Schizosaccharomyces pombe: one gene and its partners. Changing the gene in region 1 together with any one later gene gives a genetic interaction. Each region holds a gene or a part of one and is shown on either strand. Other genes may lie near its edges. The genes, in order: tim18, ure6, SPOM_SPCC757.11C and mug129.

What was found.
Region 2: mutations in tim18 (region 1) and ure6 together harm fitness less than expected from each alone (positive genetic interaction), as found in Schizosaccharomyces pombe (one large-scale study listed by BioGRID).
Region 3: mutations in tim18 (region 1) and SPOM_SPCC757.11C together harm fitness more than expected from each alone (negative genetic interaction), as found in Schizosaccharomyces pombe (one large-scale study listed by BioGRID).
Region 4: mutations in tim18 (region 1) and mug129 together harm fitness less than expected from each alone (positive genetic interaction), as found in Schizosaccharomyces pombe (one large-scale study listed by BioGRID).

Annotation. Positions count from the first base shown.
Region 1 is NC_003423.3:2,034,322-2,037,144, reverse strand, and holds tim18 (TIM22 inner membrane protein import complex and succinate dehydrogenase (SDH) anchor subunit Tim18), read right to left. Parts: upstream 1,086-2,823; 5' UTR 1,046-1,085; coding exon 566-1,045; downstream 1-565. Other genes in the region: SPOM_SPBC29A3.21 (uncharacterized protein), read right to left, coding at 1-53; MPP complex beta subunit Qcr1, read left to right, coding at 2,302-2,823. UniProt on the Schizosaccharomyces pombe protein: Membrane-anchoring subunit of succinate dehydrogenase (SDH) that is involved in complex II of the mitochondrial electron transport chain and is responsible for transferring electrons from succinate to ubiquinone (coenzyme Q).
Region 2 is NC_003424.3:5,120,302-5,124,010, forward strand, and holds ure6 (urease accessory protein ure6), read right to left. Parts: upstream 1,798-3,709; 5' UTR 1,280-1,797; coding exon 572-1,279; downstream 1-571. Other genes in the region: pex3 (peroxin-3 peroxisome import protein), read left to right, coding at 1-32, 140-575.
Region 3 is NC_003421.2:68,695-73,300, reverse strand, and holds SPOM_SPCC757.11C (transporter), read left to right. Parts: upstream 1-2,032; 5' UTR 2,033-2,244; coding exon 2,245-3,660; 3' UTR 3,661-4,065; downstream 4,066-4,606. Other genes in the region: vph2 (V-ATPase assembly protein), read right to left, coding at 4,066-4,284, 4,348-4,606.
Region 4 is NC_003424.3:3,655,582-3,659,597, forward strand, and holds mug129 (protein mug129), read right to left. Parts: upstream 2,095-4,016; 5' UTR 1,777-2,094; coding exon 868-1,776; 3' UTR 616-867; downstream 1-615. Other genes in the region: rps5 (40S ribosomal protein uS7), read left to right, coding at 1-390; rrp14 (ribosome biogenesis protein Rrp14-N), read right to left, coding at 2,886-3,251, 3,297-3,380, 3,426-3,440; iron-sensor Fra2, read left to right, coding at 3,551-3,610, 3,690-3,839, 3,946-3,990. UniProt on the Schizosaccharomyces pombe protein: Has a role in meiosis.

The DNA of each region.
Region 1 (2,823 bases):
ACAACAGTATGGCTAAGAACGTTATGTAAATATCGAAAATTGTAACGCAACATTCGATAAATGAGATTAAAACGGTAAACGTTAGAGCATGTCTTCTAATACCTTATCAAAGAATAAGGGAACGAAGCGTACATGGGTAAATTGTTGACCCATTCTAAACGATAAATAATAAATGGGACACCCAATAAAATAATTCAATGGATTTTGTCTTGGAAGAATTATTAATTCAAGTCGACATAAGGACCTTAACAAGAGCTGCCACAAACTTGAATAGTCTTCTAACCACTCCCACTAGAAAAATTATCGTTGAAGGTAAACATAAACATACTGTGCAAGCGCTAAACAGATTTACACAGATAAATTGAGAGGATCAATCAAGCCAGAAATCAAGAAAAGAGCAAAGATCAACTGCAGAATATCAATTGGCAGTTTTGGGGTTTGAACTGGTAAGTTTCAAGCCCAAAACTTACTAGATGACGGATTAAGGAGAATAAAAAAGAAAAAGGAAAGGAATAATCATTATGAAAAAATAAGTGGGGTTATATGGGTTTGCATGGAAAGAAGCTTAAGATTTCCAAAGCTTTTTAATACCCTCCGTAAGGCCAATATCATTCGTGTTGAACTCATAGACGCCAATAAGTGTAAGAACAGTACATCCACGTAAGATCCAGTGCATCAAAGGAGATAACTTCTTAAATCTTCTTGCAGGGAAGTAGTCAATCACACAAGATTCAAACCCCAAGTGGGCATGCGTAATCAAGGTGCAAGCCAATGCAGCGTCCATTAAGGGATGAGAAGTTCCGGTGAACAAAGGGATCATGACTTGAGGAACCATGGCAATAGCAATAATTCTTTCAAAGTCCCAATGATAGCTTCCGTGGAGCTTACTGTGGTGAGGGAAAACAGCAGCATCATTAACAGTTCCCTTAATGGTCTGAGGGGGAGGAGGGAAAATTTTCGCAACACTGGTTGTGCTAAAAGATTTAACTGCAAAAAGAAGACGTCCTTGACGAAGTGCTCCAAGTCCTAAACGTGTTTGTAACATATTGTTTGTAAACCAAGAAAAGCTGGTGGTGGTAGTAGGTGAGTTCGTATTGGCGGATCTTGTGTCCACATTATTGGCCATTCAACAGCTCGATGTGTTGAGCTTGGAGTGGCCGGAAATAGGCGATGAGAACCTAAATCTATCTACTCATAAACGAAAAATTGTATAACATAGAGTAAAGACTAGAAATTTAAATAGATATAATAGATTAATAAGTTTATTCAGAAGAATCTCCGGTCTTTAAGGTCGTTTCAAAACCTGGTTATTACTTTTTATAATAATATTATTCACTGCTGAAAACGAATTACCTTCTACATATAATATTACATGGGTTTTGTGGTGAGTTTGAATATCTATTATAATATTACACAGTACCAAAAGTTACTGCAGTTTCAAAAAAAATTTTACGGAAAGCACTACATTGTGAAAAAACAATAATCTACTGTAAATCTTTTTACTTAATAATATAATATAGATAAAGCTATAGAAATTTACTTGTAGCAATTATGCTAATATAAAGGTGCTGCATTGGCTTAAAAAAAGGTTAGAGAAACGGTTTTAAGAGGATGAAAATTTTATTTAAATTAATATCATTTATATAAAAAACTATTCTCATAAAAAGAAACCATCAAGCTACTCAATAGTCGATGTATAACAATGCTTGATTCGGTGCTAGTCAAAATTCTATAGTTGGACTGTTATTTTTTTAAAAATGTATTAACCGAAATATTGTAATGGAAATCATGGAAAAGAGAATTTCGTTAAGTATAAATAACCTTTTAATGTAGATGAATACGAACTTAACCTGATGAAGTGTCTTACCCTGTCTGATTCAATGTCATATAGATTCTTTTCAATATACCGATGAAACAATATATCCCCTACATAGTTTTTTACCAATGAGATTCTCCATGTTAAGTAGAGATATATTATATCATGAACTGGATTGTACGGTCATTCGTTTCCTTCCTTTATAGCAAATTGCGCACAGGGCAAAGACTAGGCAATCCGAAAGTTTCTGTTTGAATGGTCAACTTCTTATTTTTCTCTACATGGAAATTCTAGTAAGGGATTCAAGGATTGCTAGTTTTCTTTTTTTATTAAATGGGATCAATTGGTCATTTGCCGAAATTCGAACTTGGGACCTCGATAACACGTATTACGCTACACCTCTACGGAATACCTTCTTGCTACCTACTTACCCTTTACCATCCACAGAATCCCACCCAACCAAAGGAGCTTGAATTGATATTACTATGCTGAGGCTTCAGAATTTGCCAAAGCTAGTACGTCGTTTTGCGACTACTGCTTTACCAAAAACAGAAACCACTACTTTAAAAAATGGGCTTACAGTTGCTACGGAACATCATCCGTATGCCCAAACAGCGACCGTCCTTGTGGGCGTTGATGCTGGCTCAAGAGCTGAGACGGCAAAAAATAATGGCGCTGCTCACTTTTTGGAACATTTGGCGTTCAAAGGAACGAAAAATCGCTCCCAAAAAGCATTGGAATTGGAATTTGAAAATACTGGTGCACATTTGAACGCATACACCTCTCGTGAACAAACCGTTTATTATGCACATGCGTTCAAAAACGCTGTACCTAATGCAGTTGCCGTTTTGGCCGATATCCTGACAAATTCAAGCATTTCTGCCTCGGCGGTTGAGCGTGAACGCCAAGTCATCTTAAGAGAGCAAGAAGAGGTTGACAAAATGGCCGATGAAGTAGTCTTTGATCATTTACATGCTACCGCTTATCAGGGTCATCCTCTTGGACGT
Region 2 (3,709 bases), on another chromosome or scaffold:
GTACAATTAGCTGTTACTTTGACTTTTGAAGAGTATGTGTTGATAGTGCGTTGGCGGTAAATGTTTGAATCCGATTGGCGTTAATATATATGTGTTTTATCTTTCATCTTAATTTTTTAGTGCTAACACTTCGAACTAGGGTATCGCCGACGGATATAGTGGACCGCAAATTGATTGAAGCATTGACGACTCGTGTGGTCGAAGTATTTGTAAACAACTATCAGTTTTCTATCGACGGAAACAAAGAGGTACTGTTAGCTGAAATCCCGAAACAGTACATAGTTACAGGAAATTTGCTATATCGTGTTTTGGAACTAGAGGATTTTGCAACCCAAATGGATGCATCGATCGTTATGAAGAATGAGCTGATCGCTTTGAATGAACACATGTTGACTTATTTACCTAGCATACCTCAGGAAGGTATTCGTTTGGCAAAAATTTTGACGACGTTTACTAAAATTTCCGAAAACGTATTCGAAGCACCCTTCCAAGAGCAATTTTTTCAATCTCTACAAATGGTTTCAGATGTAAATCGCTACATGGCAATCGTATTTTCCAGTTTTGATGATTGTTAACTATTAAATATTCTACTATATAACAAACTGTGTCTACCCTGCCAAAGGTCCAGCGTATACCATGACTGAGCAGTGTCCTCTAGTTGCATGTTCAAAGCTAGTTGCGACGAATCTCTAAGTAAACTTTCGGTTTGAGGATGAGCCAAAGTGGAAACGTACTGGAAGGAGGTCAAAACATCTAAGCGAACAGCTGCTGAGCAAATCGATTTTGCATGCCCCAATAAGAACAGATAACATGTCCTTTCTAACGATAATCCCAAGGCTCTACATACCACACCCCAAACCACTGGGAAATGACCGAGTGCCTTTTTACTACGAACTCTTCTTTCGTACTCATCCAAGTATTTGAAGACATCGGTTGATGTAACGAAAAAGGAGAGTGATTTTGTCCAAATATTTAACAAAGATTTACCCTGCATGGTGGAGACCTTTTGGGCAATTGTGCATGTCTGTGTGCTTTCAAAAAAGTCTTCGATTTCGGAATATTGTTGCGGTGACTCCCAAGCTGCTTTGACAGTTGGCAAATTGGTATGTAGCACTGAATTGAGGGACAATGGTAAAAAGTTGAAAAATGCATTGACGTCTCTCACCTGCTGATGAGACAAATACGACTCTAACCCATACGAATAAGAAAAAGATGACAGAGGAAACGCAGTGTCTGAAAGAATTAGCGACAAGTGTGTTTCCGTTTGCGAATCAGTCATGATTGTAATGAAATTAGAAAGTGAAAACAAAAAACCACCAACTATAATCAGTAGTAGTAAGGTTGGATCTAAGTGTTTTGGAGAATAGAAAAAAAAGCTATCCCTGGGTGTTTACTTTTGCGAAATGTGTGTGCATATCTAGTATATAAAACGCTTTTTAGTATTCAAAAAAAGAGAAGAAAAGAGGAGTTTAGGAAGTTGTGAAAGTAAACTTTTAAACCCGATTCTCTCAGTAATTATCGAGCCTACAACTCAACGAAACGGTGCGACAAGAATAAAAAATGATGGAACGCTATTTTTTGGTATGTCTATACAGCATCAAAAGGTTGAGAAAACGGTTTTTAACCGCCTGGTATTTGGATGATAATTTGTAAAATACGAGAAAAGGTATCGTAGAAAAGAAAATGCAAAATGAACGACAAGAGGTGGTTAAATATTAAATATGAATCGTGTGTATGGTCAAATGAAGGACTAAGCAGAGAAAAATTTTTGCACTCATGCAGATCCAGTTTCTTCTTATCATCAAAGATCCTGCACCTGCAGTATACAATCAATCCATCGTTACTGGAAACAATATAGGGATGAAAATCATGCAACTCCTTATTATTGACATTCACTAGTGATCACTATTTAATAAATAAACATTTAAAAATAATGGAAAGGGCAAACAAGAGTCTATGAGAAAGGGAAGAGAAGCATGGATGAGCTTTTCATTTTCCAAGTCAATGATGCAAAGATTTTTTACTGAACATAGGACGAACGAATGTAAAAATTACACAACGTTTAGATAGTCCATTATAGTGGTGTTATTAAGTTCTACAATGGTACTTTCAAAATAACGATTTCTAAGTATGAGTGCTAAGTGAATTAGCAAAATAAAGCACGAGTGTGGGAATTGTAATTTGGGAAACACCTTTTACTGCAGTAATTACAACTTTCTTCATAAATGAATGTACTGAAAAGAGGATACAAAGGAAGATGTTTGGAAGCATTAAATTTACTGACCTCAGTTATTTCAGGAAAGGAAAAGCAAGTTTTGATAACTGTAAAACAATAACATATAGTATACAAAGTAAAGTAGAAAAGGCGCTGCTCAATTAAGTAATTCCTACTGGACTTTCTCACGAGACAATGCTTTAAGCATACTTTATAATATAAATTGCAATGCTTTTATTAATTTTAATACAGATGAGCTAATCTATTTAAATGACTGTAATAGACTTTCACTTCAGTTTTTACTATGAATACATATATAATGTTTTGCAATGAAATAAAAAAGGCAAATAAATGTCAGCATTAGAAACAGTAAATAAAAATTAAAAATTGTTTAAAAAAAAAGCAAACGAAGGAATTCATGAATGTTTACAACAACCCCACGAAAAATTCACATGGAAAGTGACAAATTTGTGCATGGAACAACACAGTGAGCTCATCCACAGTGAATAAAAAGAAAGTCCAAATAAAGGTTATTTTCGTTATAATACAAAGATGTCGTAAAGAACGACGATCAAAGAAAAACAAGTGAGCAAAAAGGAAACTCTAAAAAAAAGAGAGAGAGAGAGAGAGAAACTCTCCGAGTATGTGTGTGTGTATGTTTGAGTCTCTTTTGTGTATGCGAGAAGAGAAAGACAGCAGGAAAATAAAGAAGAAATAGAAATAGAAATAAAAAGTCAAAACTATTTATTGTAGCTCAATGAAAGCCAGTATCTCACGCTGACCAAAAAAAAAATGAAAAGAGAAAGAGAGCAGAAAAAAAAAAAAAAAAGTTATTGAAAACAAGAAACAATCAAAACCATCTATTTCAAGATGACATGTATGACAAAGAACGCTAGTCAAAAAAAAGGCAATTCATACAAAGAAATAAAAAAAAAAAGAGAGAGAGAAAACAAAGGACTCCTATAATCATAAAGCAAGATTACCAACAATGGACAGAGATGGATAAAGAAAACCAATGGTGGAACAAAGACAAAAAAAAAAGAAAAAGTGGAACAAAACAAAATGCGAATCAAAGAAATTGAACAGAAAATTGAGCAAAAAAAACTTTAGTTCTGAGACAAACAAACAAAAATTTTCATCTTCTTTAACTTTTTCTTTCTTTTTTTTTTCTTTTTTCTTTTATGTTTTTATTTCTTCCATCCATTATTGATGTCTCGTTTGAATCCCTTTCTTTCACCCACCCCTCTCTTCCTGCAGTCTTTTTCGTCATGCCATTACCCCATCTTTTCAGGTAGCATCGACTCAGCCTTGTGACTCCAAGTGTGGGGAAGCGAAGGCGGAGAAAAAAGGGATTAGGAAGGGTGTCGATCATGACGCAATGCCATAACATCTCTGATGCACAACACCGTATTATAGACTGACTAAGCTTGCCGCGGAAATCAATTAATTGTCAAGAAGGCAGAAAAAAGAAAGAAAGAATATAAAACAACAACA
Region 3 (4,606 bases), on another chromosome or scaffold:
AACAAACAAAAAAAACAAAAAACAAAAGAAGGCAACAAGGAAAGGCTCGTGTCGAAGAGGAAAATATGGGAAACAAAATCAAACGCCGGGCGATATATTCTCGGTTTGGCAAGTGGGAATGTAAATGCAAAAAAAAAAACGATTAAAAAAAGAAAAGGAAAAGTTAATCAATATGGTATGCGATGAGGAAATTATTTGACAAGTTGATTGAGCACACTCATACAAAACCAAAAAATGGGGAAACCAAGAAAAATAGAAATGAAATGCAAAATCAAAAAGACCAAAAATTTGGCACGCAAAAGAAACCAAAAAAACGAAACAAAAAAGATAGAAAAAGAAAAGTTATGAAGAACGGGTATCAAACCCTTTAGATATAGCCTACTAAAGGGAGGATATTAGAAAAATATGCAAAATGTTAGATGTGTAGAGGTTCAGTAGTGTAGCGAGGATCTTTTATTTATATGACTGCGAGCACGAATGTAAACAAATATCGCCATGGCAGCTAGGTAACAACCACGAGGCCGATCGCTGCTTCGGCGGATTTAGGCTGACGTAAGATGAGACTGTTTGTTACCGATAGCCCTTTTTCCAGATGCGCTCGCATTGGTTCTCAAGTGGGGCTTTGAATAAGCCACGTTTGGCGGCTGTAAATACACATAAAAAGGTGTAAGAACAAGCGTTAAACTTGTTTACCGATTATTAATAATAGGTCGATAAACAAAGATTTTAACTTTAGGAACGAGGACATGGGAAAGGGAAGAAGAGATGAGGAAACATTGCGATGTTCAGGAAAGGAAGATGAGGTCACTAGTAAATAAACAATAGAACAAGAATAATAAATAAATAAATATATGATTACAAAGTAATCACAAGCGCGGACTTGGTGAGTACAAAGCAAATTGTCATTCTATTCTATTTTGGCCTATAAATTCAAAAAAACAATATCTAGGTAGGATGTTTGAGCGTCGTATGAAACATTGCTGCAAAAACTTGATATGCTGAATAACGATATTTATGAGGCGCACAGACGATCCTCTTTCATAGCCACCTACGTGTGCAAGAGAAAAGGTTGTGGGCAGTGTGCACTAGGCGAAATATGCAAAACTTGGATTTTCATCATACATAGTACAATGTAAGAGAGATTGTAAAGCATGTTTGAGAACTCATTATGCCAAAAAACTAGTGTAACCAAGTATTGATTAGAAGGAACTGAGCAGGATGTTTAAGTTAAAAGAATCATAGTATTTGTAGGGGCTGGTGTACTGCAAGGAACCAATCTGCTATCTCACATAGCTTGTCTTTCAACATCGCCATTGTCAAGTTTCCTTCTTCATCCGTTGAATAACGCTTTATGCCCTATTCTCATTAAACGATTTACGATACATTTTTTCCATGCATACACTGGTTATCATAGACAGACGGATAGTAGCCAAAATGATCGACCCGAACAGTCATGAGTCTTTCCGTCCCGAACAGTCTGTAAATCTTCAAGTACTGAAGCGCATCCATATCTTGAGCAAACGCTTACTGCCAACGGACAAATAGACAGGTGATCTTGCCGGCTGGCCCTGAAAAAAAGCATAAAATATTCGACCGCTCAAATGGGCTTATCTGCCAAACACACTTTGCAAGACATTTCTATTCGATACTTATCATCATATCCTATCATAATTCTATTCTCCTTCTACCATCATGTCTACCGGTTTCTACGTTTGCATTTATCTTTGCGTTTTTGTACTTGCCATAACTGAATTGTACTATTTGCTCTCGCTGATTATTTCCTATTTATACAAGTAATTAATAATTTAAAAAAGAACAAATAAATAAACTGCCCACACCAGGAATCGAACCTGGGTCGCATCGGCCACAACGATGAGTCTTAACCACTGGACCATGTGAGCTAGTACAGTAGCCGTACAACTAATGACTGATATATGGTAAAATACTCCGCACTACGGAAAGCTTAATTAGGGAAGCACCGTGGATATCCTATTTTGGGAATTCTTATCCATTCTATACGATGATGAAAATTATCGGATATCATCAACTTAAAAAAATTGATCTCATATAAAATAAACGAGTCATGCTATTCTATTGAAATTCCACTTTCTTCCTTTACTCACACCAAAATATTTGAAAACAACAAAGAATTTCTCTTTGTTTTCTCGTTCCTTCTATACCTTATTCCACAGGCCAGTTTTCGTAGTAGAGCAGGTTTTTGAATGGATCCATTGAGTCTATATTATGGAGCAACAAAGTAATTTAGAAAAAGACCTCTCGGTCTCATCCTTTCTTGATGAAAAGGAAAAGTCGGGATACAAGCAATCTGTAAGATTAGTTTCCAATGACCCTTCTGCCTCACCGGCTGCTACGCATAAACCACCGTTCATCAGTGCGGCTTTGATGCTGTTAAATAACACAATTCTTTGCATTTCATTCACCATTGTCGTTCCTACGTCCGAGAGATTTGTCCAACATCTGGGGGGAGGAAATGGTTTGTCCGGTGTAATTATCGGATTGCCCACAATCACTGCCCTTGTGTTGCTGTATCCCATGTTGAGATTCTCGACTCCGAAAGCTGCCAAGGGATATACGATTTATAGAAGACCATATACAATGTCGTGTATAAGCTGCATTATTGGTCATATCATGTATGCACTCGCAGATAAAGCCAAAAGTGTGGCCTTGATTCTTGTGAGTCGTATTTTTACGGGTGTTGCGTGTACCATGTTTTTATACCACAAGCGCTATTTCACAGATAAAGCCTTGATCAGCATCAAATATAGAACGTCGATGGGTGTGGTCAACTCAGTCATGGCAACGCTTGGTTTGACAGCTGGTCCATTCATCGGAGGATTAATGGCCAAGTCTTCAATGAAGTCTCAAAGCGATATCTGGAATGAATATACTTCGGGTAACTGGCTAATGGCTTTCATTTGGGTAGGCTTGTTTTTGTTTGGCTTTGCTTGTTTCCGGGAGGTTTTGAGCCCGCAAACGGACGTAAAGGAAGAAGTAGTCGAAGAGAAGCATGTCATTAATGATGTCAAACAGGATACCAATTCAAAACTAGGATTTGTGGGGTGTCTTGTTATTTTCGTTGTCGCTTTCTCTGGCTTCTCTGCTTACTTTCTATTAAATGCATACCAAGCATCTGTTCCAATTTACACTTCTATGCTTTATAATTATTCATCCTTCCAAGCAGGTAACTTCCTTTCTTTGGCTGGAATTATCAACGTACCCTTGCTTTTAATATTTTCCTATTTGACGCGTTACTTGACTGACAGAGATATCATATTGTTGGGTTGTTGTTTAAACATCGTATGCATGGTTATTCATATAACTATTCACTATACAGGCAAGGAATTCGTACAACCTTACTTTATTATTTACACCCTTGTTTTTTTTGGATCTTCTATTGCTAATTCCCCTTCGGTCTCTTTATTGACAAAGGTTTTACATCCTAAGTACCACCTGATAGGTAACGTCGCTGTGCAAATATCAATTTCCTTATCCGACACAGTTGGTGCTATCTTTGGCGGTGCATTTCGCTCGTTCTCACCTGTTGTTTTTTTTGCGGTATGCTTAATATTAAACGTTATGTCTGTGCTTGCACTATTGATTATATGGAAGAAACTTAAGGTCAAGTTGCGCCTTGCATAATTCACTGGTAACTCAATGGTTAGGTTGCTCTCTATTTTTTTTTTTTTTTTTAATTTTTTTACAAGGGGGGGTTGATTTGTTGTTTATTTATAAATTTGTAAGTTGTGTTCCTTACAAATAAATCTAATACCAAATGGCTAATTAAATTGAAATAATGTTGCTAAATCTTTAATTATAATGAAATTAATTGATGAAATATACGTTAAAAGCCAAATGAGTTCGAATTTTTTATCTTAAATACTTTTTATTTTTTATCTATAGTGTGCCCATAGGTGCCTGCCCTTCAATTAACACATAGAGAGGTATGCCATTATGATCAATTAGACAAACAACCTATAAAAATCATCTACAGGAAAACATCAAAGGTACTTTCGTTAATAAAACATCTAAAAATTAAGAATATAATTATTGGTTCTTTTTTTCCTTCAAAGATGGAATGGCTCCCAGTTCTATAGCTAGCTGCTCATTTGACTGTAGAACAGGGTCATTTGTTGTCCATGTATATATTATTTGTCGAGTATGATTCTTTGAAGTTCGTACGGGTTGTGCAGATAGATAGCGGACATAAAGAAACGTATCTGCTACTAGAACCAAGATTGCTGAAAACGCACATAGCGCAATTTTCTAAATAATATTAAGTCAATACAAAGGTCTCCCAGGAACAAAACGAAAGTTTTTAATTCATACCTTTTCAATAGATAAAGATGAAGTGCAGTACCAAACAGCGGTCACCGTTCCTACTACTGTGAAGAGTATATTGATTATAGCGCTGATTTGGTTTTTCATTAGTCGTAACTCTGATTTTTTTTCTCTCTCAGGGTCCATGGATACGCCTGCCATTGATGGAAGCAGAGGAATACCATCATATAGCTCTTTCTCCTTTAAGATAGAAGTAGTTGTATTGTCTTGAGTATGGCTGTTTTCATCAATTTCGCCCAAGAAGACA
Region 4 (4,016 bases), on another chromosome or scaffold:
TTGATGATGAACGGCCGTAACAACGGTAAGAAGCTCTTGGCCACTCGCATTGTCAAGCATGCTTTTGAGATCATTGCTCTCTTGACCGACCAAAACCCTCTCCAAGTTTTGGTTGATGCCGTTGCTGCCTGTGGTCCTCGTGAAGACTCCACTCGTATTGGTAGTGCTGGTACTGTTCGTCGTCAAGCCGTTGATGTTTCTCCTCTTCGTCGTGTCAACCAAGCTCTTGCTCTTATCACTATCGGTGCTCGTGAGGCTGCTTTCCGTAACGTCAAGTCCATTTCTGAATGCTTGGCTGAAGAAATCATCAATGCTGCTAAGGGCTCTTCCAACTCTTACGCCATCAAGAAGAAGGATGAGCTTGAGCGTGTTGCCAAGAGTAACCGTTAAAGACTTATTTGTATTAATGGATTTTGTTACTCCCTTGCATTTAATCTTTGTGCTTTAACTTCTCGTAGTAAAAGGCAATGTGTAGTTAGTACATTTTTGCATTTTTATTATGATTGCCACTTATCGTTGTCAATACTAGATCAAAATTGCGGATAAATATAGGTAAAAGTTGTGATACTATACTGATAATGTACATTGATCGATAGGATGAACAAAACGCGTTTACAATGTAAAATATTTTTATTATGTAATTTCACGCAGCTGTAAAAAATGGCTTTTCTGAATTATTAAACCATGTCTAATTGAATAGCATACAATTAAATAGGAGCACTTTTTTGGTGCTTAAAATCATCGATGATGTAAAGATAGTATAAACAAGCAGTAACGAGAGGATGTCTAGTTTGTAGACTCGAAAAAAAAACCACATTGTTTTTTCAAATAGTATTGTCAAAAGATACTTCGTGAAGGAGAAGTACATTAATTTAAAGTGCCAAGATCTTCGTTCAACAGGCAAAGCTTCCCTTCGGTAACTTGATTTTTCATTATTTCTATTGATGTTAAAAAATCAACTTGCTCGTTTAATAAATAAATGTAGTGATTTCTGGGTAAAACGCATGTAATATATATTCTTTGAATCCAACTATTACAATGCTCATCGGGGGATTCTTGTATTAATGCTTTGAACTTCCCTAGTAGAATATCAACATCTGAGCGTGATGATATAGTCGTAATTTCAGAGGCTTTTCGTAATTGAGGATTGGCGACACTGTCAACTGGCTGCTGATTAGGTGAAGGAGAAACCGTAGCAGCTTTTTGAAAATATGTCGAAGTGAATAAAGACCAAGCATAGTGAAAGGACTCCTTATTATTCATTGGTAAAAAATGGAAAGCGGGATGCCCAAGTTTTGATAAAGCTGCCCTTTTTCGAAAAGCTAGTTGAGCCTCCGTACACGTACCATCATCTTCTATATTTGCCATATTGTCACTAAGCCTTTGCCAAAACAGTTCTGATGGATGGGTGTATTTGTACAAGTAAGAACCAATGGTAAATGTCACTATGGTCTGTGCTTCCTCCGTCTTCGACATGGATCGACCATCACCATAGTATACATCATGAAATAAATCATTGTAGGAGTTAATAAAATACGTTAAAGCTTCTCGACGATCTTTTGACATATTCTGTCTAACTGAAAGTTGCTGTACAAACTGTCGCAAAGAATCTATTGTCCACTCTATGCATAAGCTAGATCTTGATTTTTCACTTGCTAGCTCGTTCAATGGTGAAACAACGCTTAAATGCGCATGTCCTACATTAGGAGGTTTCTTCTTATGCTCATCCTTATCTTCTTCGGGGCTCTTGCAGCAAGTTAGGATTCTCCATAGCATCACAAGTTTGATTATTTGGACAGATAAGTTTAAAATTGGAAAACAAAACGACCGCGCGAGATATAAAAAATCAACAATAAAAAAAAGATTAAAAAAATAAAAAACAAAAACAGAACTATCTAATACTCAGAGGTTGCCGTAGTAAGGGTTTTATTGATGATGACAAACGACGGGTTATGTTAGCAAGGTGAGCAGTATTGACAATTAAAATCAATTAATAATTAATAGCTTGCCTAATGAAAAACATTAAAAGAATAAACAGCGGAAAGGAAAGAGATATAATGCGATATTGAAATGATAGACGGTGCATGCAGTCGTAGTAAACTGAGGATGCACTACTGATGAGTCAAGTCAAATGATACTAGTAGTATATATAAACTCATACACACTAAAATACTATAGTAAGTACATTGAGTATGACTACAGAGCATCTATTGAAGCACTAATGATAATACTAGAAACAAATTGTCTGCTCAATTCATTTTGCTTGTATCTTCTTATACTAAAACAAAAACTTTCATATACAAACAAAAAACCATGGGACGTCTCAAGGCGTTGCTCTTGTAAACTCTAAGAATACATTTGACGATCCACTTCATCAAACGTTACAAGATTTACTAAATAAGCAATCCAACTTTTCATATGTTAAACTGCTTAGTGAAGGAAAAATAAACAGCAGAAGCGAAATAAAATCTGAAACATACATTTACACTTATAAAGATAAGTAGAAGGCTATAATATTACGCGTTTGTCCTTTAAAATCATTTTTGCAGGAAATCATCAATGCGTGCATTGGAAACCTGTGAGGTATGCTGCCTTGATGCCTCAAAACTAACGTTAACAATGGTAGGACGATACAAAAAATAAGACCAAAGAATATTTAAATAAGAATTATACTAAATCGAACTGCAATAAAATAAAAGCCCGCTCCCAACCGTATCCGTCCATCCTTGAATTTTTTAACCAACTTGCGAAAGACAAAAGAAATAATTTTCTCAAAAAAATAGTACTTTTTTAATCCTCTATTATCCAGAACCTTTGTATTAACGTTTTAGTTTTTTGTCAGGGTTTGCCTCTTTTGATGAATTTACTCTTTAAGGCAACAAAGCTTAGAAACCAGCACGAGGAGATGCCTTGTGTTTCTTCTTTTGAACCTTGCTTTTTCCTGATCCCTTTTGAGAATCCTTTTCATTCTCGACAGGACGCTTATTTTGTCGTTTTTGATTCAAGTCACCGGCTTTCCTCTTCTCACGCAAATCCTGAATCTTTGATGCTAGTTTACCTCTGATCTGTGACATGCTTTCAGCATGACGATCTGAAACATCTGTATCATCACTCATAGTCGAAGACTGTTCCCACTTTGAAGATTTTTGACTATCATCGTCCGCATCGTTAACAAGACCATCCAAGCTAAATTTCATTTTTCGGCGTTCTTTCTTCTCCTCTAGCGTAGATTTTTTCTGTTTCCATTGATTCTAAATTGAACAGTTAAACATAATTATTCCAAATATCTCACATACCGCTGTATGCTCGCGATAGTAGAGCTTTGCAGGGATATAACTTAAAAGCTCTTCGAACCCGTCATTCCAAGCATTAATCCTTTCCTAATATACTCAATTAATATATAATACTTAATGTCTATGTCTTACTTCGACTTCTGTCATCTTTTTAAGGGTTTTAGAGATTTTGACAGGAGAACACCTAGTTGGTTGAAAGCGAATACACATCTTGAAAAGAACCATAACATAACTTCAATCGACAACGTTTATAAAACATGGTAAATGCACAACAACTTGAGCTTTTGATACAAAATACATTAGAACCTACCCACATTGTACGTTGAGCAAAATTTTTATTTTTATTTTTTGGTTTCACATTACTTTAAGCAAACCATTTTACTGATACTTATATAGGAGATCCAAGATATGTCTGGAGGATGTGGCCAGAACTTCGAAGTAATCATTGTTTCCCCTCTGTTTGAAGGGAAAAGCACGCTAGCTCGTCACCGTCTTGTGAATCACAAACTTCAAGAGGTGATCAAGGATATCCATGCCTTTACTCAGGTTCGTACTCTAAGTTTCAGGCATATAAGATAGAAAAAAGAAGAAGGAATCTGAAAAAAAAAAATGCTTTCAACTATTCTTAATCAGTTACTAACTTTAAATGCAGAAATGTTATAGTCCGGCACAATGGGAAGCTCTTCAAGCAAAATAATACCACATATTCTAATGCTTTCTCTT